Linked DNA regions of Xenopus tropicalis. The protein of the gene in region 1 interacts with the protein of each later gene in a pairwise test. Links are inferred from orthologs where the notes say so. Each region holds a gene or a part of one and is shown in the gene's direction. Other genes may lie near its edges. The genes, in order: epm2a, ppp1r3c.1 and ppp1r3d.

Region 1 (4,182 bases):
GGGTGTGTTGACAAAGTGCACATGGCCAATAAGTTTCACAGTGCTTTGTGTGGCAGATTTTAATCGTTTATACTCTCTACTTAAGCAGTCCCCTAGTTATATATTTATGTAAGTTGCAACTTTATGGGCTTTGCCAATAAATTGGTTTCCTGCAAACATGGCACCTAGTTATTGTATACCAGAACACTTGAAAATTCAGAGCTGTGTCTAAAAAATCCAGCCAAATATACTGTCCTGATAGCAATTTAACTTACATGCGATCAGTGCAGCCCTGCAACATGCATTTAGTAGACGTATCAGCACAGGCAAATGCGGATATAAACACGTGTAAGCATTAGGGTTGTCAACACCAACAAGCTGGGCTTGAAGCAGCACCCTTCAGATAGTTGCTATCCTTTATAGCTTGTTGCTCTAACCCTGAGCTCCGAAGGGATCACTTTTTACAGCTGTCTCAGAGAGGCTTCTAACTGTGCCTTAAATCCCACTGTGGAACGCACATCCGTCTTAGATTTTTTACTTGAGCCAGGCAGAGAGATAAGCAGCATGGGAGCAGCAGGCAAGCCTGTCTAGGGTTGCCACCTTTGCCGGGTGATAAACTCGGATAAAGGGAGTGTGCGTGATGACATTGGCATCTTGTGGAGCCAATATCACCATGTTATGACGTTTTTGGTAGCATGATGATGTCCACCGTACACAAACTGGAGGACTTCCACCCAGTTTTCAGAATGTTGCAAACAGGGCAGAAGGCATTTGACCCAGACAACCCCTTGAAAAAGCAGGCTGTCGGGTCAAAGCCAGAAAGATGGTTGAAGGGCCCCATAGGTTTAGGGTCCAAATCAGCAGTGTAAATCTGCCTGTGTCTGGCCATCTTTAGAGCCCCCAATGAGTGACAAACAGTTATTTCACTGATTTTTTTTTCTTTTTAATAGTAGTAAAGTACTTTCATGTAGATGAAAAAACAATCCTTATGTTTACTTAACATAAAAGGAATGGTTCTCCAAATTATGAAAAGTTCCCAAACCCCCAGGTCCCAAGCATCCTGGATAATAGATCCTACACCTATACCATAATTCAGCAGCAGTTACACTACAACTGAAGGCCCCACATATTTAGCATTTCTCTGGCAATAGTTTTTTCTTTAATTCAGTGTATCACAGTGTTCCTGTCTTAATAAAGCTTTTAGAAAAAAAAATCCTCACACAATCTGATGCCATAGGTTTTGTAGAAAAATGCAGTTGCTGCTATTTAGTTTTCAGTAAAAGCAGGTTAAGGGAACCCTTGTCCTGCTTGCGTTATTTTAAGCTGCAGATTCTGCCCTCCCTGTCTGCATCACAGAGAAGGAGGGATTAACGACTGCACAGATCTGTAATTCAGTAATGCAGACAGTGCCTTGGAAGGCTATACAAGGACGGGCAATCCTCAAGGCCTTACTAGATCTGCACACTAAGGTGAGGTTGTATTGCAGGATTTTATTCTTTCAAACTGCAACAATGAAATAATGTCTGATACAGATTAACAACACATCTATTAAGTACAGTTATAATCATTCAGAAATATACAAGGTAATAAGCTTTTGTTGCCCCCTCTTTCCTTTGACATATACTTTTGGCACACTTGTTAAAATGCATTCTGCAGATTGCAGACAAATGAGTGCAGTATCTTAATTATGGCTACTAGTCAAGTGGAAAGTATATGGTTTTATAGAGGTAAGCTTGCAACTCTAGTATTAATTGTATTGTCATTATACCTTGTTCAATAATGTCAAAACACAATTTAGAGCTATATTATTGAACTTACCTGAACCAGCCACCATTAACCATGAAACTAGCTAGCCCCTGGCATCAGAAAAAGATATGAAAAAAACATAATGTGGCTCTGAACAAATTCAGCACAATCCACTTTAATGAACTTTTCATAGGGTTCTAGGGTAAAGACACATGGAGCTACTTAGTAGCAGCTACTTGTCATGGCTACATAATGCCAGAAAATACCCTGCCATAGACAATACTGAGAATTGCCTCTGCTAAAACACATATAGAGACAATTATCAGTAAATTATCAGCATTGTCTTTTGTAGCCATAACATGTAGCTGCCACAAGTAGCTATGTGTGTCCTCACCCTTATGGTGGCCAATTGCATTACAATTATTATCTTGGTCGCAGCAAAATCATTTGTAGACTACACTAAAGCTCAGAGCTGAATCGTCAGATATGCAGGTAGAAACAAAACAATTCTACCCCCATCTTATGATTCAGTATTAAACGTTTGCCGGTTCTCAGATGTCTTCAATGGCCAGATTGACGAGATGACCGATATCCAAGGCCTTTGCCGATACCAGTCGCCTCATCTTGTCACTTACCGATTATCGTACGGTCGTGTGTATGGCCACCTTTACTTTAAAATATAACATTGTCATGTATGCATTTAATTCCCTGGGGCTCTCTGGGCCACACACAGTCAACAGTTTCCCCATTCACATTCCCTTCTTTTTACTAATACTGTTCCCCGCTCTCCACCCTACTTGTGTCCGCTGTGTAGCATGGAATAATTGCTCAGTCAGTTTCCAGAGATATCAACTAACATGTCATAGGGTGTTAGAATTATACAGATTTACAAATACTTTCTCAGGAGACGCTATTAATACATTTCTTGCACTGGTAATGCTAAAGTTGGCAGGCAGGAAAATGCAATTCCCTGTAATGCATGTGCAGTGCAGTAGAGAACTTGAGTAAGGAGGCCTTAGGGCTCTGGCACACGGGGAGATTAGTTGGCAGTGACAAATCTCCCTGTTCGCGGGCGACTAATCTTCCCGAAATACCATCCCACCGGCGAAAATGTAAATCGCCGGTGGGATGGCATTTCGGGGAGATTTGTAATCTCCCAGTGTGCCAGAGCCCTTAGTGAATCCTTGCTAATAAATAAGCTGCTGCATAGCCACAGAATAGCCATTCAAACTGGAGAAAAGGCACAAGTTACATAACAGATAAGCTCTATAGGATGGGAATCTACACAGTTTATCTGTTATCTGCTATGTAACCAGTGCCTTTTCTCTTTTTTTTTTAATTTGAATAGCTACTCCTCTTGACTACACAGCTGTTTTATTTATATAAACTACGGTAGTATTTCTGAAATCGGTGTGTTTGCTTCAAAAAGACTACTATAGTATATATATAAATCAGCTGCCATGGGGGCAACCATTTCTAGGAAAAAAAGGCTCAGGATACATCAGATATGCTATGCAGAATATAATGGTGTTCTACAAAACCTATCTGTTATCTGCTATATATCTGTGACATTTAGCCCTATTTCAGTTGCCTCCATTGCTGCATAGAAGATTTTTTTATAAACTATGGTAGTTTTTTGGAAGCAAACAGATCAGTTTTATCAGTGCAGGGCAACAGTACATTATATTTCAATTACTTTGCAACACTTTTTTATGTTGCTGTTACTTGTTAATGAAGGATTTGCCAGATCCCATGTAGTATAAAGAGGTAGCGCAGAGTGGGTAGACAGCTGGTGTTGTGTTCCACTGAAGAGTAGTAAAGCAAAGACCCATAGGCTGCCTTTTGGCAATTTGTACAACATTTAAGGTCACCAGAGTTTAGTAAGAGGCCCTAAGTTATACAAACAAGAAATGTCCCGGGTTCATTTGGAATGCAACCTTAACTGGAGATAGCTGTTGTTTTAATTTAGTTCATTGTTTTGTAGAGCGTATAGTGTCAAAGTTATTTTATATGCCATTGGAGATCTTTTTTTTTAAAAGATTTAAAAGGATATTGAGATATCCCAGGTTTAACAGGAGTGTCTCCATCCCATTAAAGGAACAGTAACACCAAAAGTAACACCAAAAGTGTTTTAAAGTAATTAAATATAATTTACTGTTACCCTGCACTGGTAAAACTAGTGTGTTTGCTCCAGGAACACTACTATTGTTTATAAAAGGCACAAGTTATATAGCAGATAACAGATAAGACACCATTGTATTCTACAGGGTTTATCTGTTATCTGCTATGTAACCTGTGCCTTTTCTCCTTTTGAATGGCTGCCCCCATGGCTACACACCAGGGTTTTTATATAAACTCTAGTAGTGTTTCTGAAGCAAACACACAACTTTAACCAGTTGAGGGCAGCAGTATATTATAGTTTAATTTCTTTAATCCATTTTCATTTTTTGGTGTTAC
Region 2 (4,110 bases), on another chromosome or scaffold:
AATGGTCTTATAATGTCATTTAAAAAAAGTGTGTTTATCAGACTTTCTTATGCACTGACTGTACCATGGTTTATAATTAAATATAAAAAGTGTAATAATGCAAAGGGAAATGCCTAATGCATGTATATTTTACGTTTAATAGTGATTGCATACACTGAAGTCCATTTGTATGATTGATGGTAAAGGGATTATGGTTCTTACTGACCCCAATTCTGTATCAGTGGTTTTAAGCTTTATATATACTAGAAATTGCCAGCTTGTCTCCTGCATCTATGCATAAGGTCTTTTCTAGAGCTGCTGGGATTTGTAGTTTAGCATTAACCACACACTTTTTAATGTGGGCAGCTCAGTCTGCTGCAAGCAGAACTATCAGACAAAGTTGCATGGGGGCTTTCTGTGATTTCTGTTCTACTACAGAACCTGCAAAGTGCAGCACAATGGGTAAAACTTAGCCTTTGTAGGGAATGAGCAGAATACAGTGATGTCTGAGATATATGGTCAAGTGCCATCCCTTGATATAGTCGAATTGATGTGTTTAAAGAGTTGAAAGATTTCTGAAATATATACCATTATACTTGAAGGTTCTTCTGTACTGAGTTTGTTGAAGGTTAAAATGATATGTATATAAATTATTTCCATGGACATGTAGGTTCTTTGAGTTCAAGATACACAAATAATTTGCAGGACTGAGAGTCATTTATCCCAGCAAGCATGTCAAAGAATTTATTTATAAGGATTTAAAGTAGACAGTATCTTATTGTAAGCTCTTTTGGGCAGGGCCCTCTTCACCTCTTGTATCGGTTATTGATTGCTTTATATGTTACTCTGTATGTCCAATGTATGTAACCCACTTATTGTACAGCGCTGCGGAATATGTTGGCGCTTTATAAATAAATGTTAATGTAATGTAATGTAATTTCAAGCTTATTTTACAGTAATAAGTCACAGCATTATTTAATGATTGTACATGTTATTAAGTCATGACAGGCTATCAATATTAATAGAAATATTGATACTAATGATGTAGACTTCAATACCATAATATACAACTGACTGTTTTAAAATAAATAACTTTGCATACAATGAGACGTTTTTTATTTTGACAATTAAAGACCATAAGGGGGCACTGCAACGCATCTATTATCTCCTCTAGGCAGATATTCCTTTTTATGTGACGCAGTTCATGGTTTCATTACAGAATAGTTTTAAATGGGTAGCTCAGACAATATATTCTTAAATGTTTGTGAGTATGTGCACATTGTAGACCAAAAACATAATTTTATCTATGGGTTTTATCTCTTTACAGAATGATACAGATTTTGGAACCCCGCTCTCTCCCACGATCCATAATGCCTGTAGATGTGGCAGTTAGGATATGCCTAGCACATTCTCCACCGCTAAAAAAATTTCTCAGTCCCCCTGATTGCAGGGGAAGAAATTTTGTGAACCGATATAAGCCACTAAGACCATGCCTCAGTCTGAAAAAGGAATCTGATTTCAGGAGCAACGAGTGGAACCGCTCAAAGTCTAGAAACAAAAAGAAGGTCATCTTTGCTGATTCCAAAGGACTTTCCTTAACTTCGGTGCATGTCTTCTCAGAGTTTAAGGATGAATCTTCATTAGATCTTCAGTTTGACCTGATAGACCTAGAAGATATAACAGCCAGTTTAAAGCTGCATGAAGAGAAGAACTTGATACTGGGATTCACTCAGCCTTCAGCTGATTATCTGCAGTTTCGCAATCGCCTTCAGAAGAGTTTAGTCTGCCTAGAAAATTGCAGCCTTCAGGAAAGATCTGTTGCAGGTACTGTCAAAGTAAAAAACCTGAGCTACAAGAAATCTGTCAAGATTCGTATCACCTTCAACACCTGGAAATCATTTGTAGATGTTGATTGTGTCTACATGAACAACGTCTATGGAAGCACTGACAGTGACACATTTTCCTTCGTCATTGACATACCCCCCAACATTCCCAGTCATGAGAAAATCGAATTTTGTATATCCTATGAAAGTGAAGGGCAGGTCTTCTGGGACAACAATGATGGACTGAACTACTCAGTGACACGTGCAGAATGGAAATCAGATGGTGTGCACACACCTACCCCAACTAAAACAGAGATTGCATCATATGACTATAAGAAGAAACCACAAAACAATGACTTTGATCAGTTTGGCAGCCCCAGAACATCTGCTGGTCTGTACCCCGAATGGCAAAGTTGGGGTAAAATAGGAGGATCACCTTACTGGTGAAGAACATTGTTGATGTTCTGCTTTATTCATTCTCATCGAGACATCTCGGTGCTGATGAGACATCATTTGCAAACAAACAAATGAAATTCTTCAAATAAAGTAACAGTGTAAGGAAAGCTGATAGCTATATGTTCACAGCCATAGCTTAGGACAGTACGCTTTTCACAAGCACGTTGTCAAAACACCATATGTACTGCCTTTGTCCACCATAGAAATAGAGCGCTCAGTGCTGATGCCAGCTGAATCTCTGGCGTTAGTCATATACACAGAATATACATTTGTGTAAGGCTAATATGATGAGCTATAAACACAGCAGCTTGTAGTAACCCATATGAGGATAGTTCTTACAAAGAGGGCATCGGATAGAATTCAGGACACCCTAAGGATATGACAATGAAGATTTTCATTCATCCAGGTCATGGTATATCTATTATAAGTAAATACTTAGACACCCTAAGGAGTTTTGCAGATATGTGTTTTAGGATGAATTTATGGTACGAAATGGCTAACGATACAACCCCTGAAGGTTGAAAAGCTGAAAATACAAAGAGACTGTCAATGCAATACTTACATAATGATGTTTGAGTTGCTATCATGTATTTCTAGTGACCTGCCAGTAAGCGCGAAACGCACCATACACTTCGGAAAGTAGTGTTAGGTTTCATTTTAAAAGCTGGACTTTTAAAACCTTTCACAGACTCAGTTTAAATAATGTAAGATCATACAAGGTGGCTCAGAGATGTGCAACTGGTATCCTTGTAGCTGTTGTTATACTATAATTTCCACTAAATAATACAACAGCAACCAATGTATCACACTTTGGACATCCCTATCAAAATTTTTATGGATGTGACTAAAGAATGAATAATTTTGCATTGGAGGCAAGAGTACAGAAAGTCTAAATGCACTAACCAATCCAGTGCACTTTTTTTGGTAAGGGAGGGCCCTGCAATGTTGCTTTAAGCTATCCCAACAAATCTGCTTTGATGTTGTAAAAAGTGCCTTTTCTAAAAGATTGCCAAAAACCCCTTTAATACAGAATTGTAGGTTTCCTGAATATAAAATAGTCAGTAGCAATGCTGTGCCATTTAGTAAACTGCAAAACCAAACTGCATAGTTACACTACATCCCTTATATATTGTCAATTTCTGAACTATTTCCCTTCCCACTCTTGATCCCACTTGATGCTAGAGGTGTGTACAACATAGTGCCATGCAATGCATCTGTCCACTCTGGCCCACTGGGCTCTGGCAAACCTAAAACAAAGGATGTATTATATTGGAAGATTACCAGATGTCCAACATTTTAGTGTTATGTGTAAATAAGGAGCAACCTTTCAGGATAATAATACCCTCATTCTCCCTGCCCTGTAAAAAAAAATGCACTTGTTTGTAAGCAATCTGTAATATTCCCTGTCTTCTATGTTTTTTGAGATAATTACAGAAGTCAGAAAATTCAATTTCCTTCATATTGAAGGTAACGCAAATCGCTTTTGCACCTTTATATGTGAATTTGGTATTTGATAGAATTGTAGGTTCCTTAAAGGATGAAATGATTGTAGTCGATATTTTTGCACATCAGATAGTCAAACCTTATTTTCCTTCTGAAGAGTAATGACAGCTTTTTATGAAATACCTTTATGGCGCAGAGAATTATGTTTTATTTTCTCTATTCTTCCTTTTTCTCTCAATAGAAACTCTTGCACTTTTTACATGAAATAGCTGAGCAGTGTATTTTTCTATTTTGTAACTGGCTTAAATGTGTATTTTTTGATGTACAGTACCTTCGTAAGCTGACAATATTGTTTTTTGGTGTCAGAATGAAAAAAATGAGCAGCGTTCTTGACTGTGAAATGAACTGT
Region 3 (3,615 bases), on another chromosome or scaffold:
TCAATGCATGTATGGCCGGCTTTAGACTTTGCCAACCTTGTGGGTGTCTAAATAAGCCAAGTAAATCATCCAGCAGCATCAAAAAGAGCCTTCCGTGTATGATGAGCTTACAAAGATAAAATGTCAATATTTGGGCTATTGTAGTGTCCAGCCGTGTACATTATGCAGCCTGATGCAGTAGGGAAGGTAAAACTACACAAGGTTTCCAGGTACCTTTCTCATTATAGTAAAATAAGGATGTACATAAGCAAATACTGCAGCAGGCTCTGTATTTACCTTCAGTAATTATATAGTAATTATACTGCCCTAGCTAAATGCACAACAACAGAATGTTTAGATGGGGTAATTGCTTCAGCCTCGGCTTTCATGAGAAAAAGTGCGTATTTATACCCAGCCTGAAGCGGTGAATGAATGAATGAATGTCCCAGCGCTGCAGGGGAATGGCACAATCTTATTTAGAAGAATACACACTGGCACAGAAACAAGACCCCAATTCCTTACATTACCATAACTGTGTTGTTTTCATGGTCTTTCTCGTTGTAAAACGTGGCGAGGCAAACGCTGGAAATCCTCCTAGAGATGAGACATTATCCCATTGGCTCGTTCCTATTTATAAGCTGGAATGGCACCTCCTCTCCCCATTGCCTTTACAATGCCTGTTCCAAGATGAATACAGAGGCTGCTCTATCGGCAGCTTTAATACTGCTCCCCTGGCCGTCTCCGTTGGCTACAGTCACCCTGACACTATTTCTCTTGATGTCACTGGTGAAATTTGATGTGATGGGAGTAAATAGAAGGGTTGGCTCCTCCTGTCCATCCTCGCAGGTACTGGATTGGCATGGCCGCTGCAAAGCATCATGGGTCACAACTCCCAGGCTAAAGGCACCGTTGCTCCATGTAATCCTGTTACCATTTTCATTTATAGCATGAAAGTAGCTGCGGACAGCTGCCATAAATAGATTTAAATGTCAAAAGGCATAGGCATACGTGTACGTGCAGCTGCTGTTGATGGAAAAACAGACAGTCCAAACCATTAATCCCCTTCAGGGATGAAACCCATGGCGTGCCAGTCTCCGTTCCTTGAGTGTTTTATGCCACTCACACTGATGTAGTGATCACTGCACTACATTTAATAAAATATATCAGCTTCTTCAATAAAAACAATGTATCAGCTTCTGACACGACTGCACTTGATTCCTATGGAACACACACACACACTGGTGTTTCCTCTCTCTACAACACTGCTGCTGCCTTGTCAACAAAGGGCAAGTGCAGAACTGAATGAGTGAGTGGAGTCTTGGCCAATCACAAGAATGGGCGTTCTGGTCCCTGCTGACAACGAATGACAGCAGAGGAAACCCTTTTGTATTGGCTTTACACACACAGACACAGGCAAAGGGCAGAGTGGGGGAAGCTGTGGCTCTCGCTGCGACATGCATCTGTAAGCTTGCTGCAATTATAGCACTGTGCAACAATGTCACCCAATCGCCCACATGATTGCTTGTGCCAGGCTGGGGCACAGGTTCTGATTGTTCTGCTTGCAGTGCAAGATGGGAGTGGTGAAAGGCAGCGCCAGAAGAATGCCCCTGGCAGCAGTGCCTCCCATGGACTCCTGTTGGTGACCCTGGGATTATAAAAAGGTGCGTCCGTCTTCCTGCTTTGCTAATGAGAGATTAGGGAGGCTTTGGAGTTCTGTGAAGTCAAACCTGGCAAATGAAGCTGCTGCAGGCAAGCCATTGAAAAGCAGGAGTGCTGTGTGCAATCAGAGAGTCGTCCTATACAAACATGTCTTACAAGCTCCCCCCATTCATAATGCCCCAGAGCTATAAGCAGAAAGTGGAGCTCAGCATCCCTCGCAGCCTGAGTTACATTAATAATCTGTACCAGAATGCACAGCTGGCAGAGGCATTTGGGGGACCAGGTACAAAATTCATACGGGCCGCCGAAGGGGCAAATCGGCTTCCTCGAGCCCAGAGCACCGGCTGCGATCCAGAACTGAGACCTATTATGCGGCGGAGAACCAAATCTCTGCCTAGTTCCCCAGAAAGGAAGCGTGCCATAAAATGCCAGCCCAAATGCCACAAAGTCAGGTTTGCCGACTCTCTCGGTCTGGAGTTGGCAGAGGTTAAAGTCTTCAGTTCCGCAGATGATCCATCCATCCCGCTGCATGTCCTCTCCAGGCTCTCCATCAACTCAGACCTGTGCTGCAGCCAAGAGCTACAAGTCTCCATCCAGTACCTGGAACCTGATTTCCAGCAGCCGAAAGACAGGGGCGATTTCTTGGATCGGCTGCAGCAAGAGTGCGTGTGCTTGGAGCGAGTGGCGAGTTCGGACGAGAAGGGCATCTCCGGCACCGTCTGGGTCGTCAATTTGGCCTTTGAGAAGGACCTTTCGGTCAGGTATTCGTTCACCAACTGGAAAAACTATTACGAGGCAAAGGCAGTGTGGCAGAAGAGCGCAGAGGAAAGCAGCTGGGACGTATTCACTTTCACCATTCCTATACCCCCTTTCCTCCAGCACATTTGCTCCGTGATACAGTTTGCCATCAGATATCAGGTCGCCGGCAAGGAGTACTGGGATAACAACCAGGGCAAGAACTACACCTTCACATACAGGAGCCACACTCTCCGAATGCCAAAGGACAGCGAGCAGAGCTGGATTCACTTCATCTGATCCGGCGGCACCGCCATGCTGTTCCTACTGATGCAAAAGCAAACGAGATATTCTATGGGGGGGTCAGGGAAACCTTAATACACTCAGTAAGGTATGGCTGGAAACTAGACGTGAAAGAGGCATTGGTGTTTAATGCCAAAGGGGCAAGTTACATGTAGTCCTAGGCCACAGGCCTGGAGTAAGGGGTGGACTCTTGAATTACTGGAAGAATGGGGGGAAAATTATATAAACCAATCATGTATGGCCCACAGCCCTTGATCTTTCAAGGCAAATGGGGGGAAGTAAAAAATGGGTTCTAATCTGCTTGGGGATGTTCATTCTGTTGACTGCAACCCCCAGCATCCCATCAGCAGTTGATTGACTGATGCTGGGAGCTTGCAGGCTGAACATAATATCAAAAACTTGTGGCGTCCCTTTTTACATTTTTTTTTTTAATCTACATCTTCCATTAGGGCAACCCCTGTTATACTAGGAGGCTAACCCCTGTTATACTGGGAGGCTAACCCCTGTTATACTGGAGGCTAACCACTATTATACTGGAGGCTAACCACTGTTATACTGGAGACTAACCCCTGTTATACTGGAGGCTAACCCCTGTTATACTGGATGCTAACCCCTGTTATACTGGAGGCTAACCCCTGTTATACTGGAGACTAACTCCTGTTATACTGGAGGCTAACCCCTGTTATACTGGAGGCTAACCCCTGTTATACTGGAGGCTAACCCCTGTTATACTGGAGGCTAACTCCTGTTATACTGGAGACTAACTCCTGTTATACTGGAGGCTAACCCCTGTTATACTGGAGGCTAACCCCTGTTATACTGGAGGCTAACCCCTGTTATACTGGAGGCTAACCCCTGTTATACTGGAGGCTAACAACTCTTATACTGGAGGCTAACCCCTCTTATACTGGAGGCTCATGGTACATAGCCCCTGCCCTA

The links.
Region 2: the proteins of epm2a (region 1) and ppp1r3c.1 interact in binary tests that used the Homo sapiens proteins (3 or more experiments, as listed by UniProt). The link is inferred for Xenopus tropicalis from reciprocal best matches to the Homo sapiens genes EPM2A and PPP1R3C.
Region 3: the proteins of epm2a (region 1) and ppp1r3d interact in a two-hybrid assay, tested with the Homo sapiens proteins (2 studies listed by BioGRID, with this or other methods). The link is inferred for Xenopus tropicalis from reciprocal best matches to the Homo sapiens genes EPM2A and PPP1R3D.

The regions. Positions count from the first base shown.
Region 1 is NC_030681.2:45,974,585-45,978,766, reverse strand, and holds the start of epm2a (laforin), read left to right. Parts: upstream 1-1,350; 5' UTR 1,351-1,448; intron 1,449-4,182. UniProt on the Homo sapiens protein: Plays an important role in preventing glycogen hyperphosphorylation and the formation of insoluble aggregates, via its activity as glycogen phosphatase, and by promoting the ubiquitination of proteins involved in glycogen metabolism via its interaction with the E3 ubiquitin ligase NHLRC1/malin.
Region 2 is NC_030683.2:37,168,144-37,172,253, reverse strand, and holds the start of ppp1r3c.1 (protein phosphatase 1 regulatory subunit 3C), read left to right. Parts: upstream 1-1,298; 5' UTR 1,299-1,307; coding exon 1,308-2,249; 3' UTR 2,250-4,110.
Region 3 is NC_030686.2:3,513,370-3,516,984, reverse strand, and holds ppp1r3d (protein phosphatase 1 regulatory subunit 3D), read left to right. Parts: upstream 1-1,366; 5' UTR 1,367-1,785; coding exon 1,786-2,673; 3' UTR 2,674-2,987; downstream 2,988-3,615. Other genes in the region: protein FAM217B, read right to left, coding at 507-509. UniProt on the Homo sapiens protein: Seems to act as a glycogen-targeting subunit for PP1. PP1 is essential for cell division, and participates in the regulation of glycogen metabolism, muscle contractility and protein synthesis.